Linked DNA regions of Nothobranchius furzeri. The protein of the gene in region 1 purifies or fractionates together with the protein of each later gene. This does not show direct contact. Links are inferred from orthologs where the notes say so. Each region holds a gene or a part of one and is shown in the gene's direction. Other genes may lie near its edges. The genes, in order: polr2i and med19a.

Region 1 (13,459 bases):
GGAGAGAACTAAAAAAGGTTACACTGTCTTCTGGTACTAGCTCAAAATAACAAGTGGTGCTCGCTGCAGAACCACAAAGGCGGAGCTGCACCAGAAGGTGGAGCTGCACCAGAGTCAGCCCCGCCCATTCCAGAATCAGCCCCGCCCATTCCATCAGAGTCAGTCTAATTCCTTCCAGTTGTCAGACTTGATAGCATTCTGGAATCAAAGAGGGTGTTGTAGCTAAAAAATGCGAGATTGAGGACGGAGTTGAGAAATTAATTGAACAGTTTTTGTAAAGGTTCCATATAATTAAAAATCTAACTTTTGGGACTTTTAATCATGTTATATTGTCATTTCCTCATAAGAAACACGCCAAAGCCATTTTTAGCCTCATTCATGCATTTTCCTCCCATCTCAGCTTCAATTTGGTCTCCTCCCCCGAAGCGGGTCTGGTCTTGGTTCTCAAATCTGGATATTCTGTGAATTTTCTGACAAATTATTTCTGAAATGACTTCTACTCAGACACCGCCAATAAACCATACATCCCATCTCAGAGACACACTGGGAAGCACAATTACATGTAACGCCACTTGATTTATAACAGATGTGGTGGTGTAGTGGTTATGGAGTCAGGTTGACATGCTGTTTCGCCTCCCAGTAGTGTAAGTTTTAGGTAGTTTACAACCTCTTTTCTTCATTTCTAGCTACACTTGCCAGTACTATGTTTACAACAATTTACTGGTATACCGTTTAACATATAATGTGTTTTTTTTATTTATTTATTCGTTTATTTAGCCAGTGTGAGTCCATTTGTGAGCAGAGTTTCAACTAAAATGCTGTTTAGGAATGACCAAATTCAAAGAACTTTTAGCGACATAAATATTTTGCTGAAAATAAACATTACAACTAAAATATAAACAAATTGAATGTATCAGCTGGCTAAATAGACTGCTGACGACCCCACCGAGAATCGAACCAGCAACAGCTGAGGGGAAAGCAAAAACCATCTCAGACGATTTTACCACTAGACCACCAGAAGCCATTCAATAGACTGAAGTGCTGTTGTACACCACTTTTATTAGACCAGCTGTAGGCAGATATTCGCTAAAAGAAACCTTTTCATTTCGAGATATATTCAGTCTTTGTCATGTAGCAAGTTATATTTATCTTGTTTAATTGGAGCACAGAACATAGCATTAACGACTGTAAACTAGTAACAGCCGTAATTCATGTGGGTCAGGTCAGTTTGCGATAAAGTTGAAAACAAAAACGGAAGTCAGTGGGCTAGGCTGAGTTTGCGTGAATGGGCGGGGTGCAGCTCCGCCTTTGTGGTTTTGCAGCGAGCACCCTCTCCAAAATAACCACAGTTTTTTCCCTCAGTGTCATTTGATCTATTTCTTGGGAAGATGGGTGGATGGATGGATGGATGGATAGATATATATATATATATATATATATATATATATATATATATATATATATATATATATATATATATATATATAATTATTTTTAATATAGCCTTTTTCAATACCAAACTTTCAATACCAAACAAAAATGAACTACAATAAAATTGCTGGCACACTAAATTCCAATTCTCCTCAATGGGACTTGAACTCGCCAACTGATCTCCCTTACACTACACCAAACAAGGTGCTTTACTTGATTTGGGAGGGGGGAATAAAAGCAGTAAAACAATAAAACTTTGAACATTACAACACAAAGAGAAAATAAATAATGTTACAGCAATTGCGGAATGCCATCTGCTGGATTCGAACCCGCCGCAACGACCAACCAGTAGGTTTCAAACCATGACTAATGAGTTCAAGCCTTGGCGCTCAGGGACACCCATCAGTATGTGATTGTGAGGCCACAGCACATACGTTTTAGACTGGGTGGGATTCTTATACCCAACAGGAGTCTTCTGCCCGCCTTCTCATTAGAATATGCATAATTTGTGTTTCAGGCACTAGTTAACTAGTGAGCTGCTGCACTGCCACACATGTAAAGTGGTGAAATTTCAATTGTTCCACTAGTTAACTAGTGGACAAAAATGGTCAGCTTGTATGTGTTTTTAGATGTAACTAGTTAACTAGTGAGCAAATCCGCACCTCACTAGTTAACTAGTGAGGTGCAGATATGCTCACTAGTTAACTAGTGAGGTACTAGTGAGGTGCAGATATGCTCACTAGTTAACTAGTGAGCATATCTACACCTCACTAGTTAACTAGTGAGCATATCCGCACCTCACTAGTTAACTAGTGAGCAAATCCGCACCTCACTAGTTAACTAGTGAGCAAATCCGCACCTCACTAGTTAACTAGTGAGCAAATCTGCACCTCACTAGTTAACTAGTGAGCAAATCCGCACCTCACTAGTTAACCAGTGAGCATATCTGCGCCTCACTAGTTAACTAGTAAGCAAATCCGCACGTCACTAGTTAACTAGTGAGCATATCTGCGCCTCACTAGTTAACTAGTGAGCAAATCCGCACCCTACTAGTTAACTAGTTGGTTTTTTGGGGCCCACTAGTTAACTAGTGAGCATATCTGCACTTTACAAGTTAACTAGTGATGCTTTTTTGCACCTTACTAGTTAACTAGTGGGCGCTTAAGGGTGCACTAGTTAACTAGTGAGCAAATCTGCACCTCACTAGTTAACTAGTGAGCATATCCGCACCTTACTAGTTAACTTGTGGGCGTTTTGGGGCCCACTAGTGAACTAGTGACACTTATTTTGCACCTCACTAGTTAACTAGTTGACATTTGTACCCTCTCTAGTTAACTAGTGAGCAGTTCCGCCTTCACAAGTTTACATGTAAGTGTCACACTGAAGCCACTACTAGTTCACTAGCTGAGGTTCCTCTGGCCAGCATGTTAACTTGTGTGCCACATGCAAATGTTTGGGGTGGGATTTTGCAAAATTCCACACTGTGATTGGTTGTCATATTTTATTTTAACATAGTGAGCCAATAGAAAGCCTCAATTTGAGAAATTCTCTGCCTCCTAATTAGAATTCTGTGCAACTAGCTAGCTAGTGTGAATGTAGGCTTGAACTAGTTTACTAGTATACATTTATGTCCTCACTAGTTAACTAGTTTGGACAATGGATGCATCAACTAGGTAACTAGTGAGCCTGCTACAATCAACTAGCTAGCTGGTGAGTTTTTAATGGTTCACTAGTTAACTAGTGGCACTGACCTACTCCAACTACTTAACTAGTTAGGAGTTTTGCCTTCACTAGTGAACATGTGGACACTTTGAACTGTCACTAGTTAACTAGTGAGACACAAAAACCTTCAACTAGCTGACTGGTATGCATTTTAGCCCTTACTAGTTAACTAGTGAGCCATTTTTGTGTCACCTAGTTAACTAGGAAGCCAAAATGTGTTCACTTGTCAACTAGTGGGCATTTCTTCTGTCACTAGTTAACTGGTGTGCACATTTTGGCCATCACTAGTTAACTAGTGAGACACAAAAACCTTCAACTAGCTGACTGGTATGCATTTTGGCCTTTACTAGTTAACTAGTGAGCCATTTTTGTGTCACCTAGTTAACTAGTGAAGCCAAAATGTGTTCACTAGTTAACTAGTGAACATTTCCGTCTCCCACTAGTTAACTGGTGGGCTCATTTTGACCCTGACTAGTTAACTAGTGAGACACAAATACCTTCAACTAGCTGACTGGTATGCATTTTGGCCTTTACTAGTTAACTAATGAGCCATTTTTGTGTCAACTAGTTAACTAGTGAAGGTCAAAATGTGTTCACTAGTTAACTAGCGTGTACAGTTTGACCCTCACTAGTTAACTAGTTGACCTGTTGACAAGATATCAGAATTAATGCTCAAGCGGCTGGCCAAATTGGGCAAAGTTAACAAGTGGGATTTTTACATTCAGTAGTCAGCTAGTACAAGTTTTTGTACCTTACTAGTTGACTAGTAAAAACTAAATGTGTTTTAACTAGTTAACTAGTGGACATTGATCTGTCCACTAGTTAACTAGTGAACACACTGAGCAATACTAGTTAACTAGTAAGATATGAAACATTTTAACTAGTTAACTAGAGAGAATTTAGGCCTTACTAGTTAACTAGTTGACATTTAGGCTGTCACTATTTAACTAGTTGACACAAACATGTCTAACTAGTTAACTAGTGGACAGAAATGGCTTACATGTTCATGACAATGCTGGCTGATATCCTGATATCAGAATAAATGCTCATTTGGCATCAGAATAAATGCTCATTTGGCTTGCCATAGAATGGCGTCTTATATAATTTGTAATGAGCACAACAGCAAAAGCATTAACCTTCGTAGACCCTGCATGCACATATGGAGGCTTTGGCTTCTTGTTCTATAATGTTTTATTCTCTTCAACTTAGACCTTTTTTTCATTATTTAGAGACACTTGATATTGACTTAAATTTAAAAATGTTCTCTTTTTATTTCTGTTTTTTATTAAATTTGCTGATATTTTTATTTGATTTCATCTTACATCACACCAAATACAAATTTGGGTCTCAGAAGGTTTAACTTTGCATGCTTCCAACAAACAGCAGTTTACTTATGTGGTGTTGATGCTGTTGTAATTGGACATGGTGGTGGTGTAAAAAAAAACCACCACAAGCCTACAGTGTTCCCCTAAACTCTCAAACAATCTTGCAGTAGTGACAAAAGTATTCACAATCACAATGATATTCATTTAATCATAAAACACTCAATTCAGTTAAAATCTGAGATTCTTGTTTACTATGACTTTACATGATCAGCTCTGAGCCTGACCGAGGCTGAAAGATTAAATTAGGCAGAAATTTCCATAGACTATTATGTCCCCTGATGACATAATAATCTGAAGCGAGAGAAGGGGGCACGCAGAATAAAATCTTGAGAGGTGAAGGTTTCTCCTAGAAAAGAGAGGAATGATGATAAAGAATAGAGAGAACGTGTGTGGATTTAAAAACAATTATATTTATGTATGGAACATGGACATAATTGGGGGGGGGGGGGGGGACATGTCCCCCAACTTTTTCCAAAGTCAAGTTTTGACCCCTGCACTTTTTACCATTAAAAACAATATTACTTTATATTAAATTGACACTGGTTGAGCTCTAGGACCAAGCGGAAAACAACCGTTTGTGTTGAAGCCTGTTTCCCATTAGAATATACTGTAAAGATTACCCCCCCCCCCCCCCTGTCCCCTCCACTTCTAAAGTGAAAATTACCTCCATGGTATGGAAGACTGAAGGCTTGTTTGGATTAGTGTCATCAGTCTCAAAGTATTAATTTTAGGCTGGGTATTTCGTTAATTTAATTTAATTTAATTTAATTTAATTTAATTTAATTTAACTTAATTTAATTTAATTTAATTTAATTTAATTTAATTTAAAGTTTAGATTTTAATTAAAATTTTGTCTCCCAGTCAGTAGGTGGCACTGTCTCAAACTCATCCAAATCCTTCCTTGGCGTTACCCGGAAGTATAAACAGTCTGTTTTCTCTCCACTAGAAGCTGTAGCGGCTTTATCTAGTGACGGAGTAAAGCTTTTGTAATATTTTTCTATCTCTTTTCTTTAATAAATATTGTTTATGATGGATTTAGACGGTGGAAACTACGAGCCGGGTTTTGTAGGCATCCGGTTTTGTCAAGAATGGTGAGTTTTGGGACCGTAAATCTTTGACAAAATTGACTTATTTTGTAAATAGTACGTGCGCGTTAACTAATTTAGCTTCTTTAGTATTCTTGTTAATTTAATAAAAACACATTAACCACGTTGTTCTCCCCAGTAATAACATGTTGTACCCCAAAGAAGACAAGGAGAATCGCGTCCTTCTCTATGCGGTGAGTATTTGGTTAGAAGTCATTTAGCTCACCTCAGAAAATAAAAGTTACGTCTCAGACTGACGGTAAAACCCACGAGCTTGTTTAGAGTTAATTGCAAGTTTATAAACAAGTTTCCAGCTTAAACTCTTACTTCTGTAAAGTTTTCCAGTCAACACGCTAAACCTCGTTGAGATTTTAGATGTTCACATGGGATGAAATGGGTTGTTTATGGATTTTATTACATTTATAATTTTAAAAAGACTCTAAAACAAAGTTTTATTGTATTGAATGTGGATATGAAGAGCGTGACAGTGTCTTTATTCGAAATATATTGGTTTTTTTCGGTGTGATGCCAGTTGAACAATGTAATTCACTAAAGAACATTTAATCATGTTGCTTTATGAATTGTTTTGTGCATTTTATCACTCTCCAGTGTAGAAACTGTGACTATCAGCAGGAAGCTGACAACAGCTGCATCTACGTAAACAAGATCACCCATGAAGTCGAGTAAGTAATGACAAGGGTTTCCACATATCACAGCTTCACCCTGTGGTGCCACTCCTCTCCCAACTTTACCATCTTATGCTTTTATTGTCACTTAAATTTATTTATCTTAACCTTTTTGAAAAAAATGTCCCCAAATGCTCCATAAAACCTCTCGTTGCCACCCGGAGATGGCCTACTTATTTTAACTGAGAATCTTACAGTCACATATGAGCTGTGAGAAATTACTAATTCATCGGATTTATCATCCACACTAGGGTAGACGTTTGTGGCTCCACGCGAGCAAGATGCTTTACAAGAAGTTGATTTCTAAAATCTAAACAGATGGAAAATCACAGTTATGGTAAATGTAGACTAAGCTGTGTATCCTTATGAGAGTAAAACAGCAGTCAGGCTTATTATTAATGCCTGGTCGTTTGTGAGCTGGCAGACAGACGACTGTATTTTTACACTTTTGGGTTACATAACCAACAATAAGTTAAGGTGCTCTGAACGTATTTAGAACATACAACAGACTTAATCTGTCTTCTGAAAAGATTGTCCTTTTTGGTTTATACACTGTACTGTACTTTGTATGCATTACCTTTTAAAGCAATATAAATATATATTTATTTGATTTTGTTTTACTGTTTCATTTGTTTTCATGGATTTTCTGTGACAGTAACTGTTCATCATACATGCGAACAACATTGCAAATGAACTAGTCTGTCATTTAAAAGAATATTTTGGTCTGTATTAGGTGATTTTCTTTGCTGAATTTGTAATTAAACGCTATCTCTCTTGTTGTAGATAGCTCCCTGAATGGCCTCAGTTCAGAAAAATAAGGTGCACCGGACTGATAAGCTAAAGGCTAGTCTCAACCAGACACAATTTAAGTGTGTTACTGTCATTATAAAATAGCTTTCTTGGAGGCTCATACAAACTTTATTCTGTAGGTTTTTCCACTTTATAAACCTTTTATGTTTCTGCATCACCTGGTTATTTTAGTAGAAGTATTGAGAACGTCCTGTCATGCCTGAACGTGGATGAACCAGAAGTGCTACACTTTTCTGCTACTGGTGATTTTTATGCACATAACTGAAAAAAAATCTTGTAAATATCTGTCATGCAAAATCACTGACACCCTTGTAAATGACACTGTTGTAATGTAATGGCTGATACACTTTTAAATGTCCATCTTTTTAGATTAAAAGTGAGGTGATAGACTCTTAACATCTTATTCTTTTCAGTGAATTGACACAAATCATTGCTGATGTAGCCCAGGATCCAACACTGCCGAGAACTGAGGATCACCCCTGTCCAAAGTAAGTTTGTTTTCAGGCATAATCGGGGTTTTCTAACCTTCAGTACAGGAAATGGTTTTATTGGGCTTGACTGTCCACAAACAAAAGTCTAAATGTAAATTTACTTTACACTAATAATAGTGTAAAAAGCAGATTCCATCAGATTAACGTGTTTCAGCATTTTAGAGTTAGCATTTAACTTGTTTGTGGCCGTCATAAACAACCTGACCCTTTGTTTTGTTGACTTGCTAACGTGTGTTTATACATATAAGTTCTTTCTCATGCAGAATCATAAACATATGCACCATGAGACCTGGCAGACCCTAAATGTTATATTATGCAGCAGATGAACTATATTTGTGGAAAAAATATGTGCGAAAAGGTAAAGGGCACATTTCTTCATCAAACTGTCAGGAAAAAAGGTTAAAGAGCAAGTCACCCCCTACCAGAGTCAAACTCCACTCCCACTTCATGTTTGAAAAATGCAACAAATGCCGTTGCCTGCAGACCGAGAGGGCGGAGCCGCTAACAAACACACACACACACAAGTTCACAACAGCATTGTGACATCATAATGTACCAGTTTACATCATAGCATACCTCTTAGCCAATAGCGGTGGCAGATTTAAATTCAAATACAGTGCATAGTTTTTACCTGACAACGGCACAGAACTGACAGTTTTAGGCAGAATATTTAAATTTTAACTAAGATGCACTGAAGTGCCAAATTATTGACTACACATGTCTGCAGCACGATTAGACACTCGTTTATTTAGTTTATCAGCAAAAAAAGTTTATTTGGGGGTGACTTGCTCTTAAGTTCTTTGATAGGAAATGTGGTTTTACCTTGTCTTTTATCATACTTTTTCTGTTTGTCTGCTGATTTTTTGTTGTTCATCATGTCTATACATGCAGAGCTATTAAGCAGCGTTCTCAGGCGCAGGATCTCATCCGAGTTTATTTTATTGATTAAAATAAGAGAAATTGTTTCCAGCATGCTGATTTTCATACGAAGAACCACAAAAACACATTGTCCTCTACAGTTTTTCTTTCTCTCCTTCTATGCTGAATGTCAGTAAACTATGAAGGAAATTTTCTAACAATGGCTTTCATCTGTCATTTTTGAGATGTGGCCACAAGGAGGCAGTGTTCTTCCAGTCCCACAGCATGAAGGCTGAGGTAATAAATTCTTGGATGTCTGTAAAACACTTTCTATCAGGGAAACTACATCTGTTCGATGGTTATAAAACCATAAAAAAAACAGTGCAGTTTTTCTGTTTAACTGAGGGCAAAAGATAAATAAAAGTGCCGTTATTTATCTTTTTTTTCTGTGCAGGATGCCATGCGTCTGTATTACGTGTGCACAGCGCCTCACTGTGGACACCGGTGGACAGAATGACAGCTTCCAGCATTTGGATCTGTAGCATTGCTGTCTGCCAATTGTAAATGTCTGTCTGAGACCTGTAGACTGTTTGGTAACAGACACTTTCTGATTATGATGTGTTCAGGTGTCAGTTTCAGATGTATGTTGGGTTTTTTTTTATTAAAAAATTTTACTCAACAATCTTTTGTGAAAACAGGATTTTTCTTGTTCATCATGATTTTTGTCTAATCATCTCAGTAGCAAATACTTTTTTTAATAAACTGACAAACTACTCTAGAGTTGAATATGTGTCGTGTGTTCACTGTTTTACTTTCTAAAAAAGCGGAAGAGGAATCTCGTTGGTTATTGGACACATTTTGCTTCAATACAGGATAAAACTTGGAACAAATGGTTTCTACTGGGATGCTGTTGGGGGAGAACATTTGTCCAGTAAAGATGTTTACAGTTCTGAATTACTTTAGTAACTTTCTGGATTACCACATTTTCCTCCGTTTCATTCAATCTGATGGGAATTTGTGGTAAATTTGGATGCAATTTTTTTCACTGAAAATGCGTGTTTTTAATCACATAATTAAAATATGACCATGTTTATTAGTTTAAGTTTTTCATGCAGACACCAGAAAACATGTCGGTGTAATTTCACTAATATCTGAAACCGTGTGGGTAAGTTGTACATTTAATTCATGAGTAATTCAGTTCAGAGTGTTTCATCACTAACAGACCTGAGTCGGGTCAGCATCTGAAATTTTACTGGTTCTCTTTTAGAATAGAATAGACTTTGTTCATCCCACAGTGGGGTGATTCACTTACAGCAGCACAAACACTCAGAATCATTTGAAGAAAAATAATAAAAAAGGTACATGTTTTTAAACACAGGCAGTAAGCTGTTATTGTATCCTTCAACCACTAAAAACCACCCCAAAAAATGAAAAACTTGGGTTCCAGAACTATGCAGAAAACTATTAGGGACACAGTTTTGTTTTTATTCCTATTATTCATGAGCTGAACTCAAACTTCTGAAATTTTGTCTACATATACGACAGACCTATGACTCTGAAATACTGTTCTGAAATTCAATTTAATTCAAGTTTATTTATATAGCGCCAAATCACGACAAGCGTTGTCTCAAGGCACTTCACATAATAAACTTTCCAATACAGGTCAGTTCACTAAGCCAATCAGAAAAAAGTTTCCTACATAAGGAACCCAGCAAATTGCATCAAGTCACTGACTAGTGACTAGTGTCAGTGACTTTACAGCAATCCTCATACTAAGCAAGCATGCAGCAACAGTGGAGAGGAAAACTTCCTTTTAACAGGAAGAAACCTCCAGAGGATCCTGGCTCAGTATAAACAGCCATCCTCAATGACTCACTGGGGATCGAGAAGACAGAGCAGACACACACGCACACACACACCAAGTAGTGTTTCTATGGTTGCATTGTGATTTCTTAGTAAATATTCTATTTGTTGTATTACGTCCTCTATTGGTGGATATGGAGAAGGACGGGGAGTAACACAGAGGCATGTGTTTCAGTTGTGGAAATTGTAAACATTGATTTTATTAAAAGGATTTTAAAATGACAAAAAGCTCCAAATCTAAAAGTACTTAAACACATTGTTAAAATGGCCAAGGGTTTACGTTTAAAACAGACATCCGAATGCTCCCAAACATTCACAAAGCAAATTCCACTGACTTAAACACAAGTTTGGGAGCCAAGAGGTAACCAGCACTCTGGTCCCTCGTCTGTTAAAAACCTCTTAAGCTTCTCTAAGCTTAAAGAACTAAAACCCATTTAAAAGCCATTAAAACACCAATAAATGGAGCACATGAGAGAACTGGCACAGATCCAGTCTCTCCCTTCTTCTTCTGTTGTTTAATGGCGGGTGGCAACCAACTTTCAGGTGTATTTCCGCCACCTACTGAATGGGAGTGTGAGTCGAAGTGGGGGATTATCCTTTAAAAGAAAAAAAACTAAATTCTATCAAGTAATCTACTGTCCCTTAAAAAGTCTATGACTAACTTATACACCACTAGTCCCCCATTTAACAGAATACCCAGCTCAAATTCCTCATATCCTTTAACTTTTAATTTTTCAACCAACAATTTCCTATTACCGACATATTTTCTACAAGCACATAATACATGTTCTGCTGTTTCCCTATCAAGTCCACATTCACACATTATGCCGTCCAAGAATAAAAAGTGTACTGTTCAAAGCTTTATGTCCCATTCTCGTCCTGGTTACCACTGCATGATTTCTGTTACTCATTTGAATGATTTCCATTCTTCCAACCTTTCCCTTTAATTTGTATAAATGTCTTCCTTTCACGTCCCTTATCCATTGTTCTTGCCATCCATCCAGAATCTGCTGTCTAATAACTGATTTCACCTCTGCAACACTGTATGGAACCTCCATCACAGTATCCAGTTTTGTTGCCTGCTTTGCATAATAATCAGCTATTTCATTACCCTCTACTCCACTGTGAGCTGGAACCCACATAAATCTAACCTCTGAATCAGTCTTCATCAACCTAAACAAGCACTCGAATATCTCACACAAAATATCTGACCTCTTATCTGCTGACATTTCTCTAATTGACAACAATACAGACATGGAGACGTTCAAATAATACTTTTCCTAACACCGTTTTGTTTTATCCACTGTAAACTAAATGAAATGGCTAACATTTCCACTGTATATACTGATAGATTATTAGATGTTCGACTTTTATGATATTTACTAAATTTCGGAATCCAGAAAGAAAACCCTGTTAAATTTCCTGACTCTCTCGACCCGTCAGTATATATAGGGATGAATGATTGATGAGCGCCGTCATTTAATTTTTCTTCCACAACATTATCCCAGTTCCCCACACCTTTCTGTATTTTAATTACATTGTGAATATGAAAATCTATCATCACTTTTGGAAATAACCAAAACGGAGTAGGCAAACTCTCCCTTCCTCCTGGCAGCTCTCCCTTTTATGCTGCTCAGGAGGTGATCAGCCCAAGTGAGTGCAGCTGTGCAGGTAGGAGGAGGAGGCAATGCACTGATTGTCCTCTGCAGTGTCTGTTTTCTGAGGTAAACAGCAACAGCTGTAACAGTGAGAGATAAACTTTATTGTATTTATCCTAGTGAATCTATAATTAAATGGGTAAACTAGTAGTAGCACATTCAATGTCAAGGAAAGTAAAGTGTTATCAGGAGAGGGAGAATGATTAAATGGTTAGCAACAGTGTTCAAGACGATGGCCCTCTCCATGAGGCTACCACAGCTCAGCAGAACATCATTGTAGCTTCTTCTGGGGAGAAAAACACTTGAGAAAAAATAAAGTTAACTGCTGAAATTGCAGGAAATAATACAGTTAAAGAGCAGATCGTAGAAGAAAGTAGTCGAGTGTGGAAAGTGGCCAGTATGTCCTCCAGCAGTCTAAGCCTATAGCAGCATAACTACAGAGATAACTCTGGATAACCTAGCCTTTTAGATGAAGGCATGTTGGAGGCAGGGCAAGGGAGAGCCGTCTTTGCCGACTGTACACTCCACCTCCCTCTACTCCCCCACTTGTCCAGATTTAGGCTAACATCAGATTTTAACCATAGGCCCTATCAAATAAAAATGTTTTAAGCCTAGTCTTAAAAGTAGACAAGGTGTCTGCCTCACGGACTAAAGCTGGGAGTTGGTTCCACAAAAGAGGAGCTTGATAACTAAAAGATCTGGCTCCCATCCTATTTTTAGATATTCTGGGAACCACCAGTAAACCTGCAGTCTGAAAGCGAAGTGCTCGGTTAGGAACATATGGAACAATCAGGTCACTGATGTATGATGGAGACTGATTGTTAAGAGCTTTATATGTGAGAAGGAGGATCTTAAAATCTATTCTGAATTTAACAGGTAGCCAATGTAGGGAAGCTAAGACAGGAGAGATATGATCTCTCTTTTTAATTCTCATCAGAACTCTAGCTGCAGCATTTTGGACAAGCTGAAGACTTTTAACTACATTCTGTGGACTTCCTGAGAGTAATGAATTACAGTAATCTAGTCTTGATGTAATAAATGCATGAGCTAGTTTTTCAGAATCAGTCCTGGAAAGGATGCTTCTAATCTTAGCAATATTCCGAAGGTGGAAAAAGAAAATCCTACAAACCTGTTTAACCTGGGATTTGAATGACATGTCCTGGTCAAAGATAACGCCAAGGTTCCGTACTTTGTTCTCGGAGACTAAATTAATGCCATTCAGGTAGATGATTGACTAAGCAATTTCCTTTTCTGAATTGCAGGTCCAAAGAAGAGAACTTCAGTCTTGTCTTGATTTAAAAGCAAAAAGTTTTGAGTCATCCAATTTTTTACGCCTTCAAGACAACCCTGTAAACTAACTAACCGATTAGGTTCATCGGGGTTAATGGATAGATATAACTGAGTATCGTCAGCATAACAGTGGAAGTTTATCCCATGCTGTCTAATGATTTTACCAATTGGGAGCGTATA
Region 2 (12,458 bases), on another chromosome or scaffold:
AACTCCATTAAGTGACTATTTTGAATGTTTAAATTCGCCTCTATATTGTGCGTGACGTGTTTATACGTTGTATTACGGTAAATTGGACCCGAAAATAAAGCCACAAAGAAGTGAGGAGCGGAGTAGTGGCGTTGCGTGGATACATGGTGATTTACCGCACCTCATAGGTGGGCTTTAAGCTAAAGGAAGCCAGTTCTCTTTCCTTTGATATTTTTTAGTGATAAATATGACGGAGATGTTTTCAAATCTGTTTGGGCAAACCGAGGCTCAGGGACCGCCTGGGTCTTCGTCTTTAGCCTTTGGACCAGGGAAACCCCCACCACCAATGCCTCAAAACCAAGTCCCTATGGCGGGGCAGATGCCACCACAGCTCGGGGATGAAGGCCCTGTTCTGCGGAAGCCCGGAGTCATGAACGAACCTTTTTATTTACTACGAGAGCTTCCAGGTACGGTCGGATTGTTATACTTTCTGGATATGTTGTATGTTTTCTAAATTAGTTTAACTGCCGTCAAATGTTGACGAAGTACTTTGTAAACAAGGCTAGCTAACATGCTAGGCTGTATTATGGAGTAAGCTAATTGGTAATTAGCCTTCCGTTTGTCAAACGGAAAGAAACTTTTTAATGGTGTGACACAAAAGTGTTTACAGCAAAGCTGCTCTTCTAAACTATATTATTTTAATGTGTATTCATAAACGTAAACGTTATGTAAACATTGCCTTCATATGGATGAGCATCTGCCGAGAAGCGGATGGATGTTGTCCAATACTTAGGCTATTTGTGGGAAGTTGATTTTATACATGCATACATTTCTGTTTTTAGTTGGAAACGAATTGACAGGAAACACCAACCTCATCACACACTACAACCTGGAGCACTCCTACAACAAGTCCTGTGGGAAGAAGGTGAAGGAGAAGCTCAGCAGCTTTCTGCCAGATTTACCAGGTGAGCTGTTGGATCATGAAAGTGGACTTTTTTCTCGTTTCTCAGTGATTCTTGACAGTGAAATACTTTAGGTCTTTATTTTTTTAATGTTGGTTATGGCTACAGACAGAATAGACTTTGATCCCACAGTGGGGAAATTCACTTGTTACAACAGCACCAACACTTACGGGAATAATTTGAAGAAAAGTGATAACAAAGGTACAATTATTTTTACACATAGGCAGCAGTCTAGAATTGTTAACCTTTGACCACTAAAAACCACGAAAGAAAATAACGAAAACTTGGTTTCCAGCACTGTGCAGACATGCTATGTAAAGAGAAGATGAGAAAACGCTTAGTGTTTCAGAAAACTACTTAAGATTACGTGAGATGGTTTATAAACTCAGTACTTGGTTTAACCTTTTAGCGTGAATGGCTGCATCATGGAGGCCATCAGCCTGTGGCTCTGCTGAGGTGTGATGAAAGCTCAGGTTGCTTTGACAGCAGCCTTCATGTCATATGCAGTGTTGGGTCTGTGTCTCATCTTTTGGACAGTAACCCAGATTCTCCATGGGGGGGTGGGGGGAAGGAGGGGTGTCAGGTCAGACCAGTTATGGGCCATTCCCATCTGTACCGGGTCGGCCCGGGCCGGGTAGCCCCAGTCGGCCCCAGCCTGGCCCGGTTGATTCCACACATCCTTGCCTTAAGCCCATATGGGCTGATTCTACCCACCAATCAGAGGCTTGCTCTAATGGAAGGTGTGAATTTGCTGTCAGCAGTGGGTGTGTTGGATCTGGTCGGCCTGAAGCAGACCCCCTCGAGAAGAGGGCTGAGAATGAGCCTTGGTTGGCCCGGAAAAATACCAGGCCACCCAGATATGTAAACAACCTACGCTACCCGGCCCGGGCCGACCCGGTACAGATGGGAATGGCCCATTAGCTGTCAATCAAGCCCAGTAACACTAGGATCATTGAATCAGTTTCTGGTACCTGTGTGAGCAAGTACAGGATCCTTTTGGGAAAAAGAAACCAGCATCTCCATCAAGCTCATCATCAAAAGGACGTATGAAGAGCTCTAAAACGTCCTGGTAGTAGAGGTGTGAATCTCCACTAGTTTCGTGATTTGATACAAATACAATCATGTCAAAAGTCCCACTAGTTGTCACACACACACGTGTGTGTGAGTGTGTGTGTGTGTGTGTGTGTGTGTGTGTGTGTGTGTGTGTGTGTGTGTGTGTGTGTGTGTGTGTGTGTGTGTGTGTGTGACATTTGATCTTTGCATTTGACCCATCCTCTGGGGAGCGGTGAGCTGCCGACACAGCCACGCTCTGGAACTATTTGGTTTAATCCCCAATCCATCCCCTTAATGCTGAGTGTCAAGTGAGGAGGCACTGGGTCCCATTTTTCAGTTTTAAGTGTGACCCGACCAGGATTTGAACTCCCACTCGATTCCCGATCCAGTCCCAGGGTGGACACTCAAACCACTAGGCCACTGAACTGATTGTCAACGATTCAATTTGATATCTCAATGCATCACGATTATTTCTTATGGGTTTACTTTCATCAATTAATAAAAGATGTCAGATATTTGCTTTTCTATCAAAACGTGTCTGACGCAACATGTCATTCCCCAAGAAGCCCTTCAATCACAACAGTCCTTAGAACAATGTAAGAGTGCAAAACATTTTAAACATTTAAAAAGATTTAACGAAGAAAACAAAATCTGTTTTCTCATTCAACACTTACATCTCAGGCTGTGGGGAAAAACAAGCTCTGCAAATGCTACCAACATCTTAATAAATACTGAAAACCTACAGGACATGTCCAATTCTTGCCTTCCATAGTTGACAAAATCTGTTATGGGGCCATGTAATAGCTTTGAAGGTCTTTGGAGCAACTTTAGAATCAAATATTTATGCTGCTGTTAAAAAACTGCATTATACAATAATTTATCATGGTGGGCCTTTTCAATGATTTGTAATTAATGTCTGCATCTTGATGCATCGATTATTGATTAATTTCCTCAGCTGTACCTGGTAAATTTCTGAGTTTACTGTGGACTTCAGAAAACACAATGGACCAACACCAGGAGAGGACATGGAGCCCAAATCATTAGATATCAACACCACACCTGGACTTGAGGCTTACTCTGCAACTTTTTCATATTTTTACATCGTTTTCTTTAGCCAGTATGTACTAAAATGACCCTTAGGGTGAAAAAAATGTCACTCAGACCCCCACCGCCCCCTGTGGCCAGAATATCACACTTGCAACTTGTCCGGTCCCTGATGGACTTAGTAAAGTGGAACTGACATGCTTCTTTAGCAATGACTTTCTATGGTTTCCCTTCCTTGTGGTAAAAAAGTTATCCGTGCATCCCTAATTTACATAATAGGTCAGATGAATTTTTTTAAACAAGTGACAAAATACTATACTTTTTCAGGATTTTCTACCTGTATTTGTCATCGTTTAAGCCAGGGGTGTCAAACTGAAATTCACTCTGGGCCAAACTGGAGAAACTAGAACAAAGTCATGGGAAAATGTTTATGGATGCAAATGCTTAAAATTTTCTTTATCTTCTGATTTGTGTTGTTGAATGTTTTATATGGAAACAAACCATAGTCTTGCATTAATAGTTACTCTGGAATAACCAAAGTTTAAAATTAACAACACACGGGCAGTTAACTTTGAAATAAAACACATCAGATGGAAACTGAGCAGAAGCCACAGAGTCAAATTTGAGCGTTTTACTACACCGGAGCTCATTTGGCTCCATTTGGAGGTTGCTTTCTGCGCTTTTCACGTCGGCCACAAATAGATTACTGAGCTGTTGAAATCTTGATATTTGGGCTTCAAAGTTGGCAAATTGCTGGGTGCTAACTAAGCAGTCATTTTTTTGTTTGTCTGAGACCGAATCTGTGGTCTCCAGGTCCGCAGCCGTACCCTCCTCGAGACTGGTAGCATGGATGCTGCTGATAATGCAGCAAAGCATTCTGGGATCTGTAGTATTGGCAACATATGCACTGGCAGGTCAGTTCTCGAGGGCCAGGGTTTGACTCCAGTGGCTTAAGCTATAGTTAATCTAAACCTGCATTCTGACAGGTGCTGGGACTTCTGGGCGCTCTAATGAATTAGACTTTGAGGGCTGAGGCTGTATCTCTAAAACCAAAAGTTTAACTTTCATTGTTTCTGATTTGTTGTTTTTTTTTAGCCTCTTTAATCTCACCTGGACTCCTCACTATGGCCTGTAAATTACACGGATCCCTTTCAGCCACGCTCTTTATTTCCACTTTTATAGTGTCTCTTTTGTTGCAGGTATGATCGACTGTCCGGGCACTCAGGACGGCAGCTCTCTGCGCTCTCTGATAGATAAGCCTCCCGTTTGTGGGAACTCGTTCAGCCCGCTGACTGGTGCTCTGCTCACAGGATTCAGACTACATACAGGACCGGTACCACAACACTGATTATGCCTGATAATAAATGATCATCTTATCCCCGTTATGTAACATGTAGTGTTTTTTTTTTTTTCCAGCTTCCAGAACAGTACAGACTGATGCACATACAGCCCCCAAAGAAGAAGAGCAAACACAAACACAAGCACAATCGACCACAGGACCCCCTCCCACAAGGTCTGGTGGCGTGTTAGTGAGGTCAGCTGAAACAAGTGCTACGTGTTTTTCACCACACTGACACGTCTGTTCTGATTTTAGAAACTCCGTCAGACTCTGATCCCAAGAAAAAGAAGAAAAAGAGGGACGATGATCCTGACCGCAAGAAAAAGAAGAAAGACAAGAAAAAAAAGAAGGTGAGAAAATTTTAAACACTAATTAAGTTTCTAGCTGGGCATTAAAAAGATTTAAAATGTTGACTCGGAATAGCATTGTGACATAAGTCGCACAGCAGTTTTGTTTTTTCATCCAGTTCTCAGTATTAATGAGTACACCCCCTTTGAAGAGTACAAATTTAATCAGTAGCTCAATGAACTAAAAAAATTTTCCAGAATTTTAACAAGGCTGGGTTTTATTAAACACTTGCTTAACTCCATAACATGAAATTAAGGCTATTAATATGACTTGGATCACAAAATCTTCAGTTTTGCTAAAATTGGTTTTAGCAAAAAGGAATACACCCCTCAACAAAAACTACTACATCAAGTCTTCTAGGCATGGCATGAACAAGATGGTGACATATTGCAACATCGGGCTGCATGGTGGCACAGTTGTTGCACTGTCGCTATTTCTGCGTGGAGTTGCGTGTTCTCCCCATGCATGCTCGGGTTTCCTCCGGGTACTCCGGTTTCCCCCACAGATCACAACATGCCCTATAGGTTATAAATTGTAAGTCGCTTTGGATAAAAGCGTCTGCTAAATAAATAAACATAAACATTAACATCTATCTTTTTCCATTCTTCAAGAATAACGTGTTTTATAATCTGGATGCTGGATGGAGAGTGATGCTCAACCTTCAGAATTCCCCACAGGTGTTCAGATCAGGAGACATACTTGGCCATTCAATCACCTTCACCCTGTTCTTCTTCAGAAATGCAACAGTAGCTTTAGATGCGTTTTGGATCATTGTCGTGGTGGAAACGTGCACAATGATTCAAATTCAATTCAATTCAAAGATACTTTATTAATACCAGAGGGAAATTGATTGCTGTAGTAGCTCAGAATAATAATAATAATCAAGTCATCAAAGAGTTATTGTATATTACAATGGCTGTTGGCAGGAAGGATCTCCAGTAGCGGTCAGTGTTGCAGCCAAACTGAAGAAGCCTCTGACTGAAGACACTCTTCCGTTGTCGGACAGTCTTGTGAAGAGAATGCTCAGGGTTGTCCATCATTTTCTTGATTCTCTGGAGAATCCTTCTTTGCATTATCCCCTCCAATGATCAAGTGCATGGAGTGATGGCTGCATCTTCTCCTTCAGTATAGAACAGGACATCGTTGAGTTCATGATGCCATCAATGAAATGCAGCTCCCCAACACCAGCAGCACTCATGCAGCCCCACATAAGGACACTGCCACCACCACCACGTTTCACTGTAGGCACCATGCATTTCTCTTTGAAATCCTCACCTTTACAACGCCATAGTTTTGAAACCATTACTTCCACAAACTGTGATCTTTGTCTCATCACTCCAGAGTACAGAGTGCCAGTAGTCTTCATCTCTTTCAGCACGGGCCCTAGCAAATCCTAGGTGTGCTTTTTGTGCATGAGCTTTAGGAGAGGCTTCCTTCGTAGACAATACCCATGTATGCCATTCCTCTGCAGTGTGCGTTGTATGGTGTCATGGGAAACGGTCACTCCAGTTTGGCTTTCTACTGCTTTAACTAACTGCAGTGAACTTTAATGGTGATTTTCTTCAGTCTTCAGAAGACGCTCCTTTTGAGATGTTCACTTCCATGGACGGCCTGGACGTCTCTGTAAGATGGTTGCACTTTCGTCTTTCTTACATTTTTTGGTCTTACATTTTTTGGTCACTTTTGCTACAGTATTCTGACTGATATGTAAAGCTTGGCTGATCTTGTAGCCCTCACCTTTTATGTGTAAATACATTATTTCCTTTCTCAGATTTTATGACATTTCTCTTCCATGTGGAGCCATTGCTGGCAGCATGAAATGGGAAAGGCTTTCTTTAAAGGGGCATTATGGAAGTTTGACAGCCAAAACATTTATAGAAATAATAAATTTCTTCTTCATACATTCTCCTGCAATGCCCTGGTCCTGTAGAATGAGCCCTGGCATTTTTACTGTGATTGCCTGTTTTTCTGTAAAATCACAGAAAAAGAGAGCTGCTCGGGTCGAGCAGGCTGCTTCGTGCGCGTTCACGCTCAGGCATCGCCCTCCGAACCGTTCTTTGAACGTTGTTTCAGCTGTCATCAAGGATATAAATGGTACAGATATGAAAGATGTCACTGGCGCTTTAGCTCGCCTAGAAAGATGTCGGACTTTCGTGCGGAAGACCCGGGTTCGATTCTGGATGTGGACATAGTTAAGTTAGAGTTTCATTTTTACATTAATGGTATATTTTTTACAGTAAGATGCCCAAATTTTTATTTGAGACTCGCCAAACAGCATTGAATTCACAGATAAAAAAGATGTGGGTTCAACTTTCATTTTGGAACAATTTTTCAAGCAAGGGAAGGGAATGATCTGAGCATGCAGGAGGACTGACCCATCATAAACCTTTGTCGGCTGTGCTGAAGAGAAAGGTGCAGAACCTAATTATTTAATTAATTAGCTGCACGTTCTCCTGTCCTCTGTTCTCCGACACACACACACACGGAGCTGACTGTCTCAGCTGCTATTTTCATTAAGGAGTGTGCACGTACAGCATGCGCGCCTCGTGCACGAGCCCACTATTGAAGCTGCCGTTACCTTTTGGCCTGAGGGGGCAATCGCGAGCATAAAAATTCAAAACTCTGTAAAGTCCCTTTAAGTAATTCCCTTTTATAATCACCTGTCTGCAGGACACCTCTTAAATAAGACATTAGACTCATCTGTGGTTGAATGCCTGTTAATTAGAATTGTGTAGTCTTCAGTGTGACTTTTCTCCTAAGACTATAAATAGGGTGTACTCATTTTTACAACATGGTCTTGACCAGATTTGTTAGGAAAATCATTTTTTTGTGTGCAGATAAACAAATCTTGTTCAATGGCCCACATTTGTGGGAGTATTTTTTGGTATCTCATAGAAATGTTGATTCTGAAAGAAAACTAAAGGTTTTCTGACAAATGTAGTGGGGTGTACTCATTTATGCTGGGCACTATTTAACACAATACAGCTCTCACTGTAATCACATATGGGCTTTGAGAAGTTGTTTCATATTTCATCAATTAGAATTAAACTGCGTTTATAACAAGCTTTTTGATGACTTCTGTGATTTTATCATGGTTTTAAAGTATCAATGTTTTCAATGTAATTTTATTGGTAATCACTTTATTTTGGGAACCAAGTGTTGTATTTATTTAATTAAAATATACAAAGCTAATATTTTCTCTGGTCTCAAGTAGCTAATTCAATATTACAAAGTAAAATATAAGGTTTTCAAGCTTTTATTCTTCACCTAAAAAAATAAAACTTACAATCTTGCTTCTGGAAGTGATTAAAGAATTTGCTGCAGCTTCAGATTTTGTTGCTTCATTTAAATTTTGCCTTTCACTTCCAGAGCTGTTTTAGACTGTTTACCTGTTTCTAAATGTCAGCTTCTTCTTGTAAAAAAAAATAATAATTTTTTTTAGTTTTTTCCCTGAGACTAATGTGAATAAATAAAATGTCAATAAGGACCACCTTCTCTAGATGGTAGGTAGAAGACCAAAATACCACAGAGGCTAGAGACAGCCCGGATTCATCCGGGGTGGGCATCGGGACAAATCTCTTAACTAGGAATAAACTTTTTCTTTTGTTAAAGATTGATTTTATATAAAATCTACATCTGAAATCCTACATTTATTTGTGGAGTAGCTTGTGCATATCTGCAGAAATGAACCCCATGTGCACTCAGGATGCAGTCTCAGGTGTTTTAATCAGATTATATTTAAACTCATGTAGTTTATGAGAAACTAAACACTCGTCTTCAAAAACCTATTATGTAAACCTTTTTTCTTCCTCTCGGTTCCAGAACCGCCACAGTCCAGACCACCCGGGCCTCACTGGATCACAACCCAACAGCAACAGCCTCAGATAGACAGAAGCCCACTGTGTGTTTGTGTGTGTGTGTGACTTTTGTAAGAGGATGCATGTGTGTGTTTTACAGATAAATGTATTAAGAGTATGTTTTATGGAAGTAATGGATGGCTGCAGAATGTGTGCTGAGTCTGTGGCCACTGGGTGTAAATGTTATGAGACATTACAGAAGAAGCAGATGAACCATTGAACAGTGAGAGTATGTATTTCTTTAAGTTTATCTTTTGACCACAAAGCCAAAATCAAATAAATTTTGATTATCTTTGTGTGTGTTTCAGTGTCTGCGGTTATTTGAACTCCCTTAGGTTTAACACAGTAACAGCAAACAACACATTCAGTTTAACATTTTTATGTTTATCAAATGCAGCACAGAGTAGATGAACTGACCAAAGCCAGGATGAAAATGTAGCTGAACGCTTCAACCCACAATGCTATGGATGAAATACTGGATGTGATACAAACTTCAAATACAAGCCAAGTAAATGATGCTTGAATTCAACTTAATACCAACAAACAACTGAGTCTAAAAACCAAACTCCAGGGTGATGAAAAGTGAAAAACGATAGTTGTTGAAGAAAACCTGCATGTTTTACCAAGAAAACGTCACCACTGAGATCCAGTTAACTTTACAAACTAACAATCGGAATCAAACTGAGTTTTCATTGCTTAATATTCACGCCGTCCCGCCCCGAGGTGAAACGCTATTCCAGTCTCAAAAGACAACTTTGGTTTATAAAGGCAGAAATTTGGCAGAAGTTTTTTTTTTCTCAAATTTACAATAAAGCTGAGATGGAGACAAAAACATCACATAAATCATTTAAAGGAGCCTAAAAGATTCAAACAGCACTTTTCAAAATATTTGGAAAAACATTTTACAACTGATCTCACAATCTGTACAGCCAACATCTACCTTCTGTTCTGTTTTCCTACAACTGACTAAAAGCACGCCATAGCCAGATGTTTTCATTTTTGTTGTAAAATTACACGGGAGGAGCCGCAGCCTGAACACACCCAGAATAATCCGAGTCGCACCTCGCTTCTATTTACAAAAGGTTTGTTCACGTCTTACCCCGGTTTCACACTTCAAGCATCAGCGGAACGGAACGGCAGTGAAGCGGCACCGCTTCAAATAGAATCTAATCTATGGAGTGTTTCAAACCAGCCGCGACGCGACAACTTCCAGGCACGTCCCAGAAGCGGCATGCCGCGCAAGATAGGATCGAGTTCTATTTTTTCCGCGAGTCGCTTCTGGGACACGTCAATTTCCGCAGTTCACATAGTGTGAGACGGGAAACCACACGGTTTCAGTGTAAAATCCCCGGTTATTTTCAAAATAAAATGCAACGTTGCGCTGTTGGATATCTAACTTACGTCAGTACATGTGACCGAACGGCATTGTTTACCACCAGTTTCTTAGAAGTGCAACGGTGTGATTCCTCGCGGGGGTTGTGATCTCTCGATGAGGAAGGTGTCGGAAGTCTCTAGGGATTTTAGAATCTCGCGGGTACAGCGAGGTGTAGCGAGGAAGCCGTGCTGCGGCCAAGTCTCTCCCGGTGTGAAGAGGACCGCTCTGAAGTTCGCGAGTGAGCCGCTCCGCTGCCGCTCTGTTCCGCTGATGCTTGCAGTGTGAAACCGGCTTAAGACCAACAGAAGCAGAAAACGCGGAATCAGCTGAGCTCTTTTACAACAAGCCCTCTACAAAATAATCTTCCCTTTTAAACACTCCTGCAGCTAGAATATAAAAAATACACCTGCATACATTGTTTTATACACACCCTAGTTCATTTCTGTGCATAAAGCTGTACAAAGGGTTTCAATCACATCTTCCTGAAAAAAATGTTCTTCCTATTTAAATAACAGAAATACAGAAATGTTTGGGTTGCATCGCTTTTGTCTCTGAAGGAAATTTCAATTTATATTTTCTATTAAAAAATTACAAACGAAAAAAAAAGGAACGGGGGAGGTAGATTCACTTTTTTTGAGTGTGGGGGTGAAAAAACAGGCTCAGAAATAAGTGTATGATAATGAAGATGTTTTAAAGAAGCATCTGGATCATGTTTTCAGAGGTAATTTAACAGAAAAATCTATATCCTGTTAAAGTTTTGAAACAATACTGACTAAAACGTTCTTATGTTCTTTGGTGTTTCAGCAGGATTGTGAGGATTGTCAGAAAACTACAGATCAGTATTTCAAGTACCGTGATATCTGCACTCTGCAATTAAGGTCTATGGCTTTAATGGACACAAGTTTGGCTCATGGAGCTGAAGCACAATAAAATACACAAACAGCAGCAAAAAGGTGATGACACGCCCCCCCCCCCAAGTCTGACTGAACCGTAACAACTCCATGACATAGATCAGCATGAGCAAAATGGACATCAGCAATGACCTTGAAAACAAACAAAAACTATGTATAAAAAGAGTTGCCTAAATGTGAATTTACATGAGAGGCCTGCTGGTGTTCGTTCTGAAGGCACAAACTAAAAGAGTCTGAAGCTCTGCTGGAGCCTAGGCATCGGTGGCCGTAAAGCCGTTACAGTGACCATTAGCTTCACTGTGTTTCAGGGTCTCCATCTCCTGACTGGGTGATGGTTTCTTCTTCTCCTTCAGCAAGTTTCTACGGTGATAAAACAGGTAACCTGGCAACAGGAATCCAGAAAACGAGAAGATCAGCAGCCCAACGTTGATCTGAAAGAGCAAGCGGACAGAGAAATTGGTTTCACCTTTTTATGAGGGGACAATAAAAAAAATTATACAACAGTTTATGTAAGGATAAAATGGGATTTAAGCACATAATAACTTGGGATTTTACTTTTATTAGTACTTTTTTCTGCTAATAAGGTATATTTCTTGCTGATTTCTTAGTTTTCTGTTTGGCACGGTTAACAAGGCTGCCAACTCTCACGCACTGAGCGTGAGACACACACATTTGACCCTCTTCACACGCTCTCACGCCACACCTCCAATCTCTCGTGCTAAACCAGCGCCTGCGCTCCCCAAACGCGCATCACGCACAGTGTGTAGGACTCACGAAAAAATAACCCATGATATTCATTATAGCATTAGCTACTGAACAACATGCACACAACAACACTTAAGTAATAATTTAACTGGCGTTATTTCACACATAATCCCATCTGTATAATCCAAGCTGATGTGCTTTTTTCTACTCTGGTTGTGGGATGGGCGGAGCGGTGAGCTCCACCTGCTGTTGATTGGACGGGCATGCACGGTTCTTTCTCCTAGAACCGTGAGCTGCGGCTGCAAGCAACACCAAAATGACATGCTTTATTTAGAAATGCAGCCGCGTCGCCAGCCAGTGTTGACGGGGCTTCAGTCCAGAATGTTTTTCTTTTGTTTTCACTCATCAGCCACAGATCGTCGCTCACAGCAAGCTGGGCTTCCTACCGTGGTGACTCACTCACATGATCCCTCTCTACATTAGTTGGTGACGCAGTGAATTAAGACATTAGGAATCCTAACGTTTTAATGTTTTAACTCACCACTTTACCTGTGTGTTTTTACTGTTTGTGAGTCGAACCCCTCCTCCATAACCAGGTTACTGGTACGGAAACCTGGAAAGGCCAAAATTCCTCAAACGTTTTTTTTCCTACTGACTCATATGAATTAATAGAATAGAATAGAGTAAATTTTATTAGTCCCACAGTGGGGACATCCACTCATTACAACAGCACACACACTCAGATTAACAGATTACAGTAAAACTGATTCCAGCCATGTTTGCTTTGATAACTTCAATAACTTCATGCTGATGACCAACATGAACATAATCCTCTGTTTAGTGGATGCAATAACATCAAGAAGTTAGCATAACATGACAGATTGT

Evidence for each region.
Region 2: the proteins of polr2i (region 1) and med19a purify together in Homo sapiens (affinity purification with mass spectrometry; 3 studies listed by BioGRID and IntAct, with this or other methods). This does not show direct contact. The link is inferred for Nothobranchius furzeri from reciprocal best matches to the Homo sapiens genes POLR2I and MED19.

Annotation. Positions count from the first base shown.
Region 1 is NC_091753.1:27,221,255-27,234,713, forward strand, and holds polr2i (DNA-directed RNA polymerase II subunit RPB9), read left to right. Parts: upstream 1-5,370; 5' UTR 5,371-5,564; coding exon 5,565-5,629; intron 5,630-5,762; coding exon 5,763-5,817; intron 5,818-6,232; coding exon 6,233-6,306; intron 6,307-7,532; coding exon 7,533-7,607; intron 7,608-8,713; coding exon 8,714-8,765; intron 8,766-8,922; coding exon 8,923-8,985; 3' UTR 8,986-9,254; downstream 9,255-13,459.
Region 2 is NC_091741.1:91,558,797-91,571,254, forward strand, and holds med19a (mediator of RNA polymerase II transcription subunit 19-A), read left to right. Parts: upstream 1-83; 5' UTR 84-226; coding exon 227-446; intron 447-821; coding exon 822-944; intron 945-4,237; coding exon 4,238-4,371; intron 4,372-4,454; coding exon 4,455-4,551; intron 4,552-4,632; coding exon 4,633-4,727; intron 4,728-8,547; coding exon 8,548-8,613; 3' UTR 8,614-8,878; downstream 8,879-12,458. Other genes in the region: slc43a1a (solute carrier family 43 member 1a), read right to left, coding at 11,120-11,299. UniProt on the Homo sapiens protein: Component of the Mediator complex, a coactivator involved in the regulated transcription of nearly all RNA polymerase II-dependent genes.